Linked DNA regions of Astyanax mexicanus. The protein of the gene in region 2 purifies or fractionates together with the protein of the main gene of each other region. This does not show direct contact. Links are inferred from orthologs where the notes say so. Each region holds a gene or a part of one and is shown on either strand. Other genes may lie near its edges.

The links.
Region 1: the proteins of solute carrier family 12 member 6 (region 2) and stk39 purify together in Homo sapiens (affinity purification with mass spectrometry; 3 studies listed by BioGRID and IntAct, with this or other methods). This does not show direct contact. The link is inferred for Astyanax mexicanus from reciprocal best matches to the Homo sapiens genes SLC12A6 and STK39.

What each region holds. Positions count from the first base shown.
Region 1 is NC_064418.1:33,562,150-33,569,327, reverse strand, and holds the start of stk39 (STE20/SPS1-related proline-alanine-rich protein kinase), read left to right. Parts: upstream 1-4,100; 5' UTR 4,101-4,358; coding exon 4,359-4,464; intron 4,465-6,752; coding exon 6,753-6,865; intron 6,866-7,178. UniProt on the Homo sapiens protein: Effector serine/threonine-protein kinase component of the WNK-SPAK/OSR1 kinase cascade, which is involved in various processes, such as ion transport, response to hypertonic stress and blood pressure.
Region 2 is NC_064432.1:21,452,344-21,460,335, forward strand, and holds the start of solute carrier family 12 member 6, read right to left. Parts: upstream 3,142-7,992; 5' UTR 3,002-3,141; intron 542-3,001; 5' UTR 1-541. Other genes in the region: nop10 (H/ACA ribonucleoprotein complex subunit 3), read right to left, coding at 4,718-4,858, 6,068-6,121.

The DNA.
Region 1 (7,178 bases), on a different chromosome or scaffold from region 2:
ACATCCGAAAAATTAGACCTTTCCTGACGCATCAGGCCACCCAACTCCTGGTGCAAGCGGTCGTCATCTCACGCCTCGACTACTGCAATGCCCTGCTAACTGGCCTCCCGGCCTGTGTAGTAAAACCACTCCAGATGATCCAGAACGCAGCAGCACGTCTGGTCTTCAACCAGCCAAAACGGGCACATGTCACCCCGCTGCTCATTGAGCTCCATTGACTACCAGTTGATGCTCGCATCAAATTCAAAACTCTTATAATCGCCTACAAGGTGATGTCAGAACAGGCTCCTTCCTACCTGCACTCGCTCCTGAAGGCTTATGCTACCTCCCGGCCGCTGCGCTCCTCCAATGAACGTCGCCTCGCTTTACCAAACAAACATTCACACAAAGCAATCCAGACTGTTCTCATACAGAGTTCCCCAATGGTGGAACAAACTACCTTCCACTACCAGATCAGGAGAATCTCTCGCTATCTTTAAGAAACTCCTGAAGACAGAGCTCTTCAAAGAGCACTTACTCTCTTAACACCTCTAACACACTAACTACTTCTAACCTCATTTCCTTCTTCCTCTCCTTCACTCCTCTATCCTATTATTCCCCTTTGTCCTCCTCTTATCCCTATCCAAAGATGTTTTTCCTTTAAACTTATTTTACATTGTACTTGACTATTGTAAGTCGCTTTGGACAAAAGCGTCTGCCAAATGTAATGTAATGTAATGTAATGTAATGATAATATGAAAAATGCAAAAAACAAAAAAAAATTGTAAGAGGCAAATACTTTTTCATGCCACTGTAAATATATCAAAATTTTATTGTGTTGTGATAAATGTTCTTATCATAACGACAGTAAGCATATTGAGGATATCAGTAAAACTGACCGTGACTGACACTGACCCATCTCTTATTACAGAGAGTGGTGATTTTTCAATAATTTGATTAATCGGGACGATTTTTGCCATGTTTTTGATAACCGGTATTGGTCGGTATTTGCGCACACAGCCGATTTTTCAGTAGCTGCTGCAAGCAGCCCTGTGTGTTGTGCTGCAGTGGAGCCGTTAGAGCTCCCTCTAGTGTCCATTCCACCATCCTACTGACACACAGTAAAGAGCTGAGGAACTCGAACACTCCCAGAACTGATGGAGCTTCAGACGCAGCTGCAGCAAATTAACTCATCAGACTTCAGAGAAATGCTTCACTTCAGCCTCAGCTGGATTCCAAACAGGACGGGTAAGTGAACTCATCTGACCGGGTTTAATAATGAGCCGTGTTTCTTCTGTGCTAGATGCAGGTTTACTGACTAGTAGCCTCTGTGCTAGTTAACTCTAACCGGCTACTTTAGCTCAGCTCAGCTAAGCTAACGCTAACTCAGGTACTTACACATCTAGCTCTGTGCTAGCTAATGCTAATGGCTACTTTAGCTCAGGTCAGCTAACGCTAACTCTGGTACTTACACATCCAGTTCTGTGCTAGCTAACGCTAGCCGACTACTTTAGCTCAGCTCAGCTAACGCTAAGTGAGGTACTTACACATCTAGTTCTGTGCTAGCTAATGCTAACTGGCTACTTTAGCTCAGCTAACGCTAACTGAGGTACTTACACATCTAGTTCTGTGATAGCTAATGCTAGCCGGCTACTTTAGCTCAGGTCAGCTAACGCTAACTGAGGTACTTACACATCCAGTTCTGTGCTAGCTAAGGCTAGCTGGCTACTTTAGCTCAGCTCAGCTTACGATAACTCAGCTAACGTACTCATACAGCCAGCTCTGTGCTAGCTAACGCTAACTGGAAACTTTACCTCAACTCTAATAACGGCTTATGCCATATCCAGTCCTAATACAAATAATTCAATGGCCACAACTTCGAAAGGCATGGGAACGAGATACAAAGAATAAATTGTGGCCATAATTTTGTAAGACATGACAACAACTTTTATTTAACTATCTATGTTGAATTTCACCAGCAGGATTGAGTAGTAAATATTTTAAAATAACAATATTATTTGGCCACTAACGTCGATAGAAATGTTTGATTTTAGATTGTGAAGTCGGCTGGCCAAAACTTAATGTCAGGACAATGTCTAATGCTAATGTCATCTTGACAAAAACAATGACAACAGCTGACATTTTTTTTTTATTTGTTTTAACTGATGTTAGAATGTTATTAAGAAACATTTTGGAATATAGACTTAAACCATATCATCCAGTCCTACACATAAATAAAAATAAGTCATGGCCACAATTGAGCAAGACATAGAGCCACGTCTTATGCTGACCTTACACCAATCGATTTTCAAGTGATTTCGAGTGAGTCGAGTTGTGGTCGCGTCATCTCTATCATTCACTGTAAGGTGGTTAGGATTGAACATGGATCTGGACAAGACTTAAAATACCGAAGGACCACGGGGTTCAGCGAAAAACAGTAGGTAATTCAGCCTATAATTTTATCAGGTGACGTCTAAGAAAACACATACATGGCCATCCCAGATAGAATTAAAATGACAGAGGACTCCCCATAAAAGAAAAAATTACCCCAGGACCCCCTGAGAAACTAATCCCGTCTGGATAAGGCTTTAGCCAGATTTTTCTTGTCCTGGTGTTCAAATAAAATCATCTAGTTTAACATCTTTAATATTATCGTAGCTCTTGAAACTTGGCTGACGCAAATAGTGACATGAACAATTTAAACAACCAATAGGAGATCTACAGGGAAGCAGCAAGGCAAATGTGGGAACGTTTGCAGAACTGGGCGTGGATTAGACTCTGATGGTGGCTCGGAAACCGCGGTTCTCCTGTAGTGTACAAAGGAGGAGAAATTAATAGAGCTGTGAAGTGAGCAAAGAGTGTCTCTTTAATGTGTCTTCCCATTTGTACCAAGACAGAGTGGAAAATATAAAATGTTATAAATTAATGAAATAAATAAGATAAATAAAATTTTATTTATAAATAATATCAGGAAGAATCTAATTGCTGTCTTTTAGAATAGTGAACCTGCAAAATCCCCAATCTTTGCAAATCTTAGTATGTGATTTGTCTTTAAATGTGAGAGGGTGTCAGACTTTAAGCTGTCCAAACACTACACGACTTTGAAAAAACTCTGAAAAGACTTTTAACAGACTGAAGTCTGACACCCTCTCACAGACTTTTTAGTCACAGAATAGTCACAGACTAAGATTTAGGAAAGACTGGGGATCACAATTTGCAAGACTGCAACTAGATTCTTTCTAAGGTTATTTCCCATCCTGCTTCTAGTGGAGTTTACATACAATACATATTACATATTAAGTTACAAATTTGTATATCAATACTGTGATTTATCGAAGACTCACAGCTTTTGTCCCCATCAACAGTTTATTTTTCTAATTCTTGATATTTTTTAATAGAATGCATTTTGTGTTCAACTCTGCCTATAAGCTTCATTGCCCCCTTTTTTTACTACAACATGGTATAGTAAAGAATCACCGTTTCACTACTATACATTTGCCTTTGCTTTAGATAGAATTAATACAGTAATAATTAAATATAATAAATAATTAAAAATAACTCTGCACAATAAGACAAATACTGCAACAAAAAAAACTGTCAGGTGAAATATATTCTTACTTCTTCCTATTGGTTGTTAACATTGTTCTCGTGACTATGAGCAGCCAAGTCTCAGGACTGAACGATCCAGACGCGACCACGACTCCACTGCAGCTGGTCTCTAGCCAGACTTGATTTTATCTGGACTCTGGAAATTAATCTGTGACTGTGAAATCATTTGAAAATCGTTAGGTGTAAGGACAGCATTAGTCTTTTAAAAGTCTTTTCATAGTCTTCTAGTGTATGGTTAGCATATGTTAGCGAGTTAACCTAATTAACTAGGTAGCTAATTATCTTGTTTACACAGCTTACTAAGTCGTGGCCACAAAATATTCCTTCATTAAATTAGCTATGCAGGATTTCACCAGTGGGAATTTCTATTGTAATATTTGATTATTATAATGTTATTTTATCATTAATTTAACTTATTATATCTATTGAGTCAGAGAGGAAGAAGCCTAACCTTTAGCTTAGCTAAGAACTGTTAGCTAACTTCCTCTTTAAAACATTATCTCCTCTGCCAGCCTGACTCTGAGTGACTTTAGTAAATGAAGAGAGAGCTGAAGTGGAAGCTTTAGGAGAAAACTGGTGTTTACTCCTAGTTTTCGGGGTAATTGTAGTGAGTGGGTGGTTCTCCTGCTGTTTCTGTAGTGGGCAGGAACCAGAAGCTGGGGCTGAAGCTGCTGCTGTGGGAACAGGAGGAGGAGGAGGAGGTGAAAGTGTGTCCATAAGCTGAGCTCCGCACCGTTAGCCTAGCATAGCAGCCCAGCCGCAGCAGCATCATGGCGGAGCAAGGCGAGTCTCCGGCTCCCGTCCAGAATCCGCAACCAGTGCTCACGACCAGCTGGCCGATTGTCAAGGAGGCGTACGAGCTCCAGGAGGTTATCGGTTAGTAGCGGGGAGTTTGGGCTGGTTCTCGGCAGCGGCTGATTGCGGTTCCGGTACTTATACTGTTTGTTCTGGTGAATGGCGAAGCGGGCCTACCGGCTTTTTCATGCGCTGCTGTGTGTAGCTCCAGCGGAGCAGCCGGGGCTCACTAATGCAATGCGGATGTGACAGATAGACAGTGACTGCTGTATTTGACCGGTTAACTGTCTTAAAACGCAGCGCATTCTGCTGTAAATCAGCCTGCGTGGAGATCGCGCCCTTGCTTATACGGTACAGTTATTAGATAGTGTGGCAGACTGTCAGATTGCTAATAAACGATGCTTTCTAATGGCACGTGTCCAGGAAGATGTCAGGCATTAGTGGCATGTAGACTGTCTGGTTCCAGGAGAGTAAATCTCAGGTGAAGTCTGCCCCAGGCCTCCTGAGAGACTGTCTCACACCTTCCTTATTCTCTCTACAGACTTTTAAACAGCTTAGAAAGACTAGAATAGATTTAGGTATAGAATTATGATAATTGGTTTTGTTGTTATTATACTGTCATCAAGCTATTAGAGAGCTAACATAGTGCCAAGCAAGGCAAGCCTGACTGGGAGGTTAATCATATTAGTTTGATTCATCAAATTAGAAAAACAATATGGGGTAATCAAGATTGTATAACTTTATAAACAAAATCTGTCAGCTTCCTGTAAAAACTTTTATGTGGCAGTGAATTTTCATATTTAGCACTTTTCCTTACCTGAAATTTAAGCACATTATGTTTGCATTGTGTTTATTATAAAAGCTGCATGTAAGATTGAAGGTGGCTGCTTACTATTTGTTAAAAAATGCAGTTACATGTAAAGGAAACTTTACATAGGATACTTTAAATTGTGCTGTTACAACTCAATTGAGAATTACTCATATGTTTACAGTATCACCCAGCCCTAATTTTCATAAATTCTACTGTAAATGTAAAAGGTCCATAATTGTATATAGTAACCACATACAATTTTATATCTGCCAAGTCAGTGGTTGATCAGCTGCAGCTATGACTATTATCTGATATGGTCAGAAAACCTATGATGTGGGCATTGTTGTCAAATTCTCAAGTGTTACCTACTTATCCCACCTTTCTTGCTACTTCTGCTTAATATTTATAGAGGCTTTTAAAGAGAATGCTTGTACAATCCTCCCCTTCTTATCAGTTCATTGATAACTTTTATCTGTTCAATTGTAATTCTGTTTTCTGCTCTATAAACCTTGTTATTTTAGTTAATACACTTGACCCTAGGCTCTGTGCTTAAAACAAACATAACCCCTCAAAGACCCTTCCATGTCTCAGAGTCACAGATAGTGCGGGTCACTATAGATGAACTGTGGTGGGGCCTTATCATATCGGCTGATAAGCGATGTTCTCTACTGAAGAGGTCCTGTTCTGTTCATTTGTGCTGTGTTCCTAATCAGCACTGCTGTACATTCAGGACCCCCTCCTTCTTATCTGTCAGCAGCAGTTGGCATGGTGTGTGTGGTGGGTCACACACACTCTGCGTGTGAACAGCAGCACTGCGTTGCTGTATGGTGATTGAGCAGGCCCTCAGTATTGATGCTGTTTAATGGGACGGGTACATGTGCAGTGTTATCTGCAGTCATTTGATAGAAGCGGAGCATGTAGAATGTTTCAGTACAGGCAAAAATTACACTATTATTGAACATGGCAGAGTTTTAAAACTTGTGAACACTGAGCTAGTACAACACCTGAGCTAGTTACTGATCGCTTTGACAGTTCTGTATTGGCTTATAAGGCTTTACACTTTATTACACTTCATTTCATTGTAATTATGTTGATATGTTACATCGGAATTCATGTTTCAAAGTATGCTATGCCTATTACTGGCACATATACAACACTGGACAAATGCAAGCATCAAACATTATTGAAACAGTTCTATGAAATTTCAAAGTGTTGTTTATTAAATTGTAAATTGTAAAGTGTTAAGAAAAGTTAGACACATTTTATATCCTTTCAGAACTATTTCAGACACACAATCCATGCGTTTGTCATTGAAGTGTTAATCTATTATTATTGTGATTAACCAATTTTTGCCATATCACCCTCCAATTCTACTTTCTGTTTATTGTTACTTTCTGGAATCACACATTTCATTAATTTAATCTTATTTACTGTCATTTTACTAATTTACTTTGCCTGGAATTTCTGTTTTCTGATTTGTATATTCATTTATAATAGTATTAATTATCACTCCCACATGTGTGAGATGTGTAATACCTTTTTAACTGTTTTTCTCTAGGCAGTGGAGCCACAGCAGTAGTCCAGGCTGCTCTCTGCACCCCTCGACAAGAGCGTGTGGCCGTCAAAAGAATCAACTTGGAGAAATGCCAGACCAGCATGGAAGAACTACTGGTAAGGCTAGATAAATCTCAAATAAAAGTCCTTTAATCTCTGCCTCTGCCATTTATGTACAAACAGATGCTCGTAATCATTTTGTCCAGCTTGCACTTTTCCTCTGCCCATATATAGAATTCTCTGATGTGCATTGCGCAGAATTAGCTGATGGTATTCAGTAGGGGTGTCACGATTCTCTAAATCCTCGATTCGATTTCATTTTCGATTTGAGGGTCACGATTCGATTCGATTCTCGATTTTCTTGTTTTTTTTTCTTGTTATTATTTTATGCCTCATAAAATTTAAATAATATATTTATTATTATTATTAT
Region 2 (7,992 bases):
AGTGGGACAGTGTCCGGGCCGGAGCGTCTCCATTGAACGAGGCTGAAAGAGGCTTCTGGATATGATCCTTATTGATGGTTGGACGCTACAGCCTTAATGTGACAGTTTTTGGGACTAGCTTTAAATAGCTATAAAACACTGAGCTTAGAATTTGGCTGGTGTGAAAAGAGGTACGAACTAGCTGATAATTGCGTCAACAGTGTTGGAGGATGTTCGAGATAGATATTGTCAATTTTTACCCTGTATCAAAATAAAAACGTATTTAAGACTTGTGTCCAAACCGAGGTAGAAATGCTCTCAGTAAAGTGCTCTATACATTCACAAGGTTGTCTTCTAATGGAAAAATAGAGGATATGTCAGAAAAATGGCTTTCGTTAAATGTCCAGAGACCAGGTCAAACAATCTAGTGCTATTGCCTTTGGCCTTTCTTCACCTCTCTGCAAGCTAGTCTAGACTAGATATGGGTTCACTTTGTCATCTGCCTTGAAAGTGCTTTTATTGTTACAGGAATGATAAGCAGGCTGACGTGACAAAACTGCATCTGTCGACGGAAAACATGGAGAGAGAGAAAGAGAGAGAGAGAAAAAATATAGTAAGCAAGGTCACATAACACATGCCAAGACGATACAATTTACAACTGTCCATTCATTAAATTAACTCAGAAAATTCTAGTCTACCGATACAATTTACAACTGTCCATTCATTAAATTAACTCAGAAAATTCTAGTCTACAGTCTAGAAATGACTCTAGAGTATAGTCTAGAGTAGACATTATATCAGTAATGGTGCAGTTGAATACAGTATCATATCAGAGCTGATACAGTAACTGAAATTTGTTGCATAAACACATTAGTATTGATGCTAATAGTATTGTATTGGTGCCGATATTAGCCCTTAATTACAGTATCGTAATGGTGCTGATACTAGCCCCAAATACAGTATCGTATCTGTGATGATACAGGCTCTAAAAACAGTATTGTATCGATGCTTATATTTACTTAAAATAGAGCATTGAATTAGTGCTGATACTAGCCCTTAATTACAGTATCATACCATGGCTGATACTAGTCTTTAATCACAGTATTGTATTGCTGCCGATGCTTGCTCTACATAGAGTTAGTTTAGCTAGGTTATCTAACTAGCCCCGCTAGCATCACACAGTTCAGCTAGCTCAGCTAGTTAACTAGCCTCGCTAGCTAGCTAGCTTAGCTAGCTAACTAGCCTCGCTAGCTTCATACAGTTCAGCTAGCTTAGCTAGCTAACTAGCCCAGCTTGCATCATAAAGCCCAGCTAGCTTAGATAACGAAATAGCCCAGCTAGCATCACACAGTTCAGATATTTTAACTAGTTAACTAGCCATGCTAACATCACACAATTCAGGATGCTTAGCTAGCCAACTAGCCCCTCTAGCATCACACAGTTCAGCTAGCTTAGCTAACGAACTAGCCCCGTTAGCATCACAGCTCAGCTAGCTTAGAAAGAAAACTAGCCCCGCTAACATCTCACAGTTCAACTAGCCGGCTAGAATCACAACTAGTCTAGCTAGCCAACTAGCCCCTCTAGCATCACACAGTTCAGCTAGCATGGCTAGCTAACTAGCCCCGCTAGCAACAAAAAGTTTAGTCAACTAACTAGCCCCACTAGCATCACACAGTTCAACTAGCTTAGCTAACTAGCCCCACTAGCAACACACAGTTTAGCTATCTAACTAGCCCCACTTGAATCACACAGTCCAGCTAGCTTAGCTAACTAACTAGCCCCGTTAGCATCACAGCTCAGCTAGCTTAGAAAGCAAACTAGCCCCGCTAGCATCGCACAGTTCAACTAGCCGGCTAGAATCACACAGTTTAACTAGTCAAGCTAGCTAACTAGCCCCACTAGCACCACACAGTAAAGCTGGCTTAGCTGGTTAACTAGCCCTGCTAGCATCACACGGTTCAGCATGTTTAGCTAGACAACTAGCCCCGCTAGCATCACACAGTTCAGCTAGCTTAGCCAACTAACTAGCCTCAGTAGCAACAAATAGTTCAGCTAGCTTAACTAGTTAGCTAACTAACTAGCCCTGCTAGCATCACACAGTTCAGTAAGTTTAGCCAACTTGATTCAATTCAATTTATATATTAGCGCTTTTCACAACAGAAGTGGTCACAAAACAGCTTTAGAGAAAAAACTAACTAGCCCCACTACCATCACACAGTTCAGCTAGCTTAGCTAACTAATTAGCCCTGCTGTCATATCACACAGTTAAGCTAAGTTAGCTTACTTAGCTAACTAACCCTGCTAGCATCACACAGTGCAGCTAGCTTAGCTAATTAATTAGCCCCGCTAGCATCACACATATCAATTAGCTTAGCTAACTAACTAGCCCCGCTAGCATCACACAGTTCAGTTAGCTTTGCTAACTAACCCCGCTAGCATCACAGCTCAGCTAACTTAGCTAACAGTTAGCTTAGCTAGCTAACTAGCCCCGCTAGCATCCATATTAAGCCAATTAGGATTTCTGGATCGGACCGGTCAGTCCAGCCCGGAGTCTGCGGACACAGCGCAGCGTTTACAGCACAATAATATTCGGCCGTGTCAGAGATGCGGCGCCGGTCAGATGAGAGTTTAGACCGGGATAAAGTGATAAAAATCTGGCTGATGTTTTAGCCAAAGCACTGCGCCAGGACTGCGGAGGAATACCCAGCACAACACACCAGCAGCCAGCTGTAGTGAATGGAGGCAGCAGGCAGCACTGTTTTCTCTCTGTTTCTGTTTCTCTGTTTACTGCTCGGGTTAGGATTTGTTAGATAAACTAGCTAATTCATTAAGGGCTTTTACCCTTTATCTAGCTCATAAAGCGCCTACCTATTTAGCATGCTGGCTAGTTAGCTATGTGTGTAATTAGTCAAATCTGACAGCTCCCAGGTCCCAGCAGCTCCTGCAGCTGCCAGGTAATAAACACAGCCCCATTATCCCCAACCATAAACACTCCCCGATTCTCCCCATCCAGCACATTTACCTGGAGTCACCTTGTCTCGCCTCAGTTCCGGGGAAAGCCGCGCCTGATCTGGATGAACTGAATTAAACTAAACCCATTCGTGCTTCAGTTACCGCCCGTCCTCCTCCTCCTGCACTGTCTAATAGAGTATTATACACAGGCTCGCTTGGCCACTTTCGCTTTCCGTACAAAAGGAACCGATGTGCAGCATGGGTAATGTAGTCTTATATATAGGTTTCTGAATCAGTTTCTTTGATTTTGTTATTTATAGGTAAATGTTTGAGTAAAATGAACATTGTTGTTTTATCGTTTATCCCAAATTCCAAACAGAAACATTGACATTTAGAGCATTTATTTGCAGAAAATGAGAAATACTGAAATAAAAAAGATGCAGAGCTTTCAAACCTCAAATAATGCAAATAAAACAAGTTCATATTAATAAAGTTTTAAGAGTTCAGAAATCAGTATTTGATGGATTAACCCTGTTTTGAAATCACAGTTATTCACACTTGTCATGTTCTCCTCCACCAGTCTTACACACTGCTTTTGGATAATGTTATGCCACTCCTAGAGCAAAAATTCAAGCAGTTCTACTTGGTTTTTATGGCTTGTGATCATCCATCTTTCTGTTGATTATATTCCAGAGGTGTTCAATTTGGTAAAATCAAAGAAACTCATAATTGTTAAGTGGTCTCTTATTTTTTTCCGGAGCTGTATATATATATATATATATATATATATATATATATATATATATATATATATATATATATATATATATATATATATATATTTAACCAGATATGTGTAACAGGAAAAATAGAATTTGCTTCACAACTGCACATAAGTACTAAAATACTGTATCTATATCTACTGGAGTATTATTTTTACTTCACTACTGTACTTTAATCCATATACATATAAAGTAAAAAATAAATAAATAAATAAATAAATAAATAAATAAATAAAAAAATAAAAAGTAATCTACCTTCTACCACTAAACAATGTTAAAATGTCACTGTTTCAAATTGGGTAAAATAACAAAAACATAATAAATTATAATGATAAGTAACATAATACATATCTGCTTGTTGACTTTCCAAAATACTTAAAGTAGCAGTCCTTAAGATTTTTCTTTAATGAAAATCACCATTATTCACAAGTGGGTAGATAACCTAATATACTATTCTATAATATGGGGTCATTTTTTGCATGTAGAATGTAGAATTTTAAAAGCGGCTCTGTAGTGGTCTGGTAGGTTTCTTCTATTTTTTTCTGGCCCCATCTTATCTTCCTGACAGCTGCACTACAACACTCTATGTTGGTAAAACAATAAACAGACCCAGCAGTAGGTTAGCAAATGAGTTTTATTGAATAAGGGGTTCATTTCCCCAAAGAAAAAAAACTCAGAGATTGAGAGTGGAGTTAAAAATGTGACAAATTAATTCATTTCAAAATTCCAGAAGCAAAGGGTAAACTGCAGAAAAACAGAGAGAAATGTTCTCCTGATTTAATAAAGTATCACATTTACTCAGATTAAAGAAAATGCTTCAATTAAACTGAGGAAAATTTTCATTTTAAAATGATGTCTCTAGACATTGTATAACAACATAATTATACAATTTTACTGGATAGAGTAAAACAAAATATTACGCAACCAACATCACACAAACGTGTGCATGTGCACACGCAAACACACACTTCATGTCCTTGATGTGTCCATTGTTTGGTGCTCTGTTACAGCACAGGTCGTGGCTGTTGGGTCAGCAGAAGTCCAAAGCGTTTCTTTATGGTCACTCTGTGCCGGGAGAACTTGTCATCAGGGGAGAATCGAGCTGGATGTGCAGAGCTGGTGGGCTGGCCTTCTGGATCCACTTTCTGAAATTGGAATATTAATAAAGAATAAATAAATAAATGTTGACTGCATGTATACTGTACTATTCACTACAGTATGTCCAACATACAATGTTCTAGTAGCACACAGAAACATAAATAGCAAATGTTTAATGACTTGCTGCATGTGTTTATTGTTCTGTCTTACACTCTATTTTGTCAGATTTCTTTTTCTTTTCTCTTATTTTTTTCTATTCTCACTGGCTCTACTCTTTTGCACAATACAGCAATTTCTTTTCCTCTGGGAACTTCTTAGAAAGTGTCAAATTTAGCCATCTTTCTCTTAATTAATTAACTTTTATTTGCACATACAGTTATTTTATGGAGTTATATCATTTATAGGGCCAAACAATAAGACAATACTTAAATCATGAGCATGCTTTTATAATACTCAACACTTTGCAAAGCACCATAATTAAAAGAGAAAACCAAGAGAATCTATATTTACTACATAAACATGAAGATAATTGATGGTGAGTGTGATTAAAAAGCTGCTCATCCAGGCAAAAACAGACTATATGCTGGTTAATCAGCTATCAATTAGCATAGTGTTCAATATGTTGAATTTGATTTGCTTTTACTGATGTTACAGAGGTGGGCCAATGTAGTGTCAGGAGTCTTGCCCCTGGCTCCACCAATTGATGTAGCACAGCATACGCACCCAGATTGGGAATTAAACCCCAGTCTCCCACATGTGCCATGCAGTGGTGTTATCCACTACACCACACCAGTCACACAAACAACAAACACACAAAGTGATGTTTAACAGCCAGTTAATCAGCTAGTTGGTCCGTTTTGGCCTGGATGCCTAGTTTCATATAAAAAAAACACATTAACCATAAATGAGTATTTAAGACCATCTACCAGCTTCTTACCAGCTAACTTACCAGCAAAACCCTGCTCTTGAACTGGCTTATTCGCAGGGTACAGTATTGTCTTCATGGTTATTTTGGTTAGCTTGGCCAAACTGATCAGTCTTGTTAACCAGATACAACCACCCAACTCATAATAACTAGTTACATGAGCTAACGTTACACTTTACTGGTGACGATATAAAAAGCTGGTCCACCACCCCAGACTAACTGAACCAGAATGTAAGATCTGAACAACTTCGTTTTTTTTTTACCCTACATCAGCTTTTGGTTAGTAAAGTTAAGTGAGTAACGTTAAAGCGGATCAGGATCCGGATCAGACCTTCAGGGTGTAGACCCGCTCTCCGTTCTCGTTCAGGTAGAATTGCAGAAACATGGTTACAGCGCGGTTCCTCTGGAGTTTAGATTAGATGATCTGAAGCCTTTAAACCGGATTAAAGAGCTGAAAATGAGATAAATCAGCGCTTTACGAAGAACAGTCCAGTATCTGCGTAAACCACGCGGTTCCTCTGCTCCTCAACACCACATCCGGTATAAGTCAGGAGCGAGGAGCATGATGGGAAATGGAGTTCTTAGTAACGACTCATCATCGCTGCAGAGCGACCGCCCCCTGCCGGTACAATAATGCCACACTTTATACTAAATTCATTTTTATATAATAATAATAATAATAATAATAATAATAATAATAATAATAATAATAATAAGGATAAAAATGAGGATTATTAGAAATATTCCTATATTATATGACATTGTATATTATTATATGATCTGTTTTGCCTCAGCTGTACTTTTTACTATGCATATTTTAGCGCACTTTTATTTCCCTAATTAATTCATTAATTGTTACAAAAGTATTATTATTATTATTATTATTATTATTATTATTATTATTATTATTATTATTGTCATTTATTTATTTATTTAAGGAGCTGTTTAACCTCAGCTGTACTTTTTATTATGTTTATTTAGTTGTGCACTTAAAATATAGCTGCACCAATTATTAATAATTATTATTGTTTAATTCGGACAAATTACTTGCTATAATAGATATCAGAGCATAAATATTAAATTGTTTACCTTAAAGGCATTTTTCCCCTTACTTTACTTTTACTGTTTTGAATTTTTTAGTAGTTTTGAAACCAGTACTTTTATACTTTTACTTGAGCAAAATGCTTCAGTAGTTAGTTGAGTAGTTAATAGTATATTATTTTTAGTAATATATCTATAATATTATATAATATGATATGATATTATCCTTATTATTATAGGATATGTTATGCACAATTTAGCCGTGCAATCTAGCTTTAAATATAGCTGCAGTTTGTGTTTCTTTAATGAGCGGAAAAACAAATGAAACTGTCCTTAACTATATTCAAAATGAATAAATTATATTGTTTTTACTTTATTATTATAATATATTTTTTACAGTATATATTTTTAAATAGTTAAGTCTTGCCAGTTTAATTCTAGCAAATTGTTGTTATTATTACTATTATTAAAATGAACATGGATAATCCTTATTCCAAGGAGATTTCCTGTGTTTATTATTATTATTATTATTATTATTATTATTATTATTATTATTATTATTATTATAGTAAATTAAATGTGGTTTATATTGGCTGAATAGAATGCTGTTTATTTTTAAATATAAAAACAAGCTGCACTGATAACTGATGAAGTGAGCGAACCGATCTTCAGTGATAGCTGGAGGCTCTGTTGACTTGCACTGCAGTGAAAGGTGAGTACAGTACAGTATATTCAGTGTTGTGCATGAACGAGTTCAAAAGAGCGCAGAGAGAGAGAGAGAGAGAGAGAGAGAGAGACCAACGACAGAGTGCGGGCGAGAGAGAGGGAGAGAGAGAGAGAGAGAAAGAAAGAGAGACCGAAGACGAGAGCGCGGAGCGCGAGGGCGAGAGAGAGAGAGAGAGAGAGACCGACGACGAGAGCGCGGAGCGCGAGGGCGAGAGAGAAAGAGAGATACAGAAAGAGATAGAGATAGAGAGAGAGAGAGAGAGAGAGAGAGAGAGAGAGAGAGAGAGAGAGCAATGACGGGAGTGAGAGAAAGCGCTGCAATAAAAAAAAATGGCTAGTGGAAGTGATGACTGGAGACAGACACCGATTCTCCTTATGAACATTTTCATCACCTGGTAAGAAACCCACAATTGCAGTGTCATGAGCAAATGTCTACAATAAGCAGTTTCAAAGAACTTAGAATATCTCAGAAAAAAAGTAAAATGAACT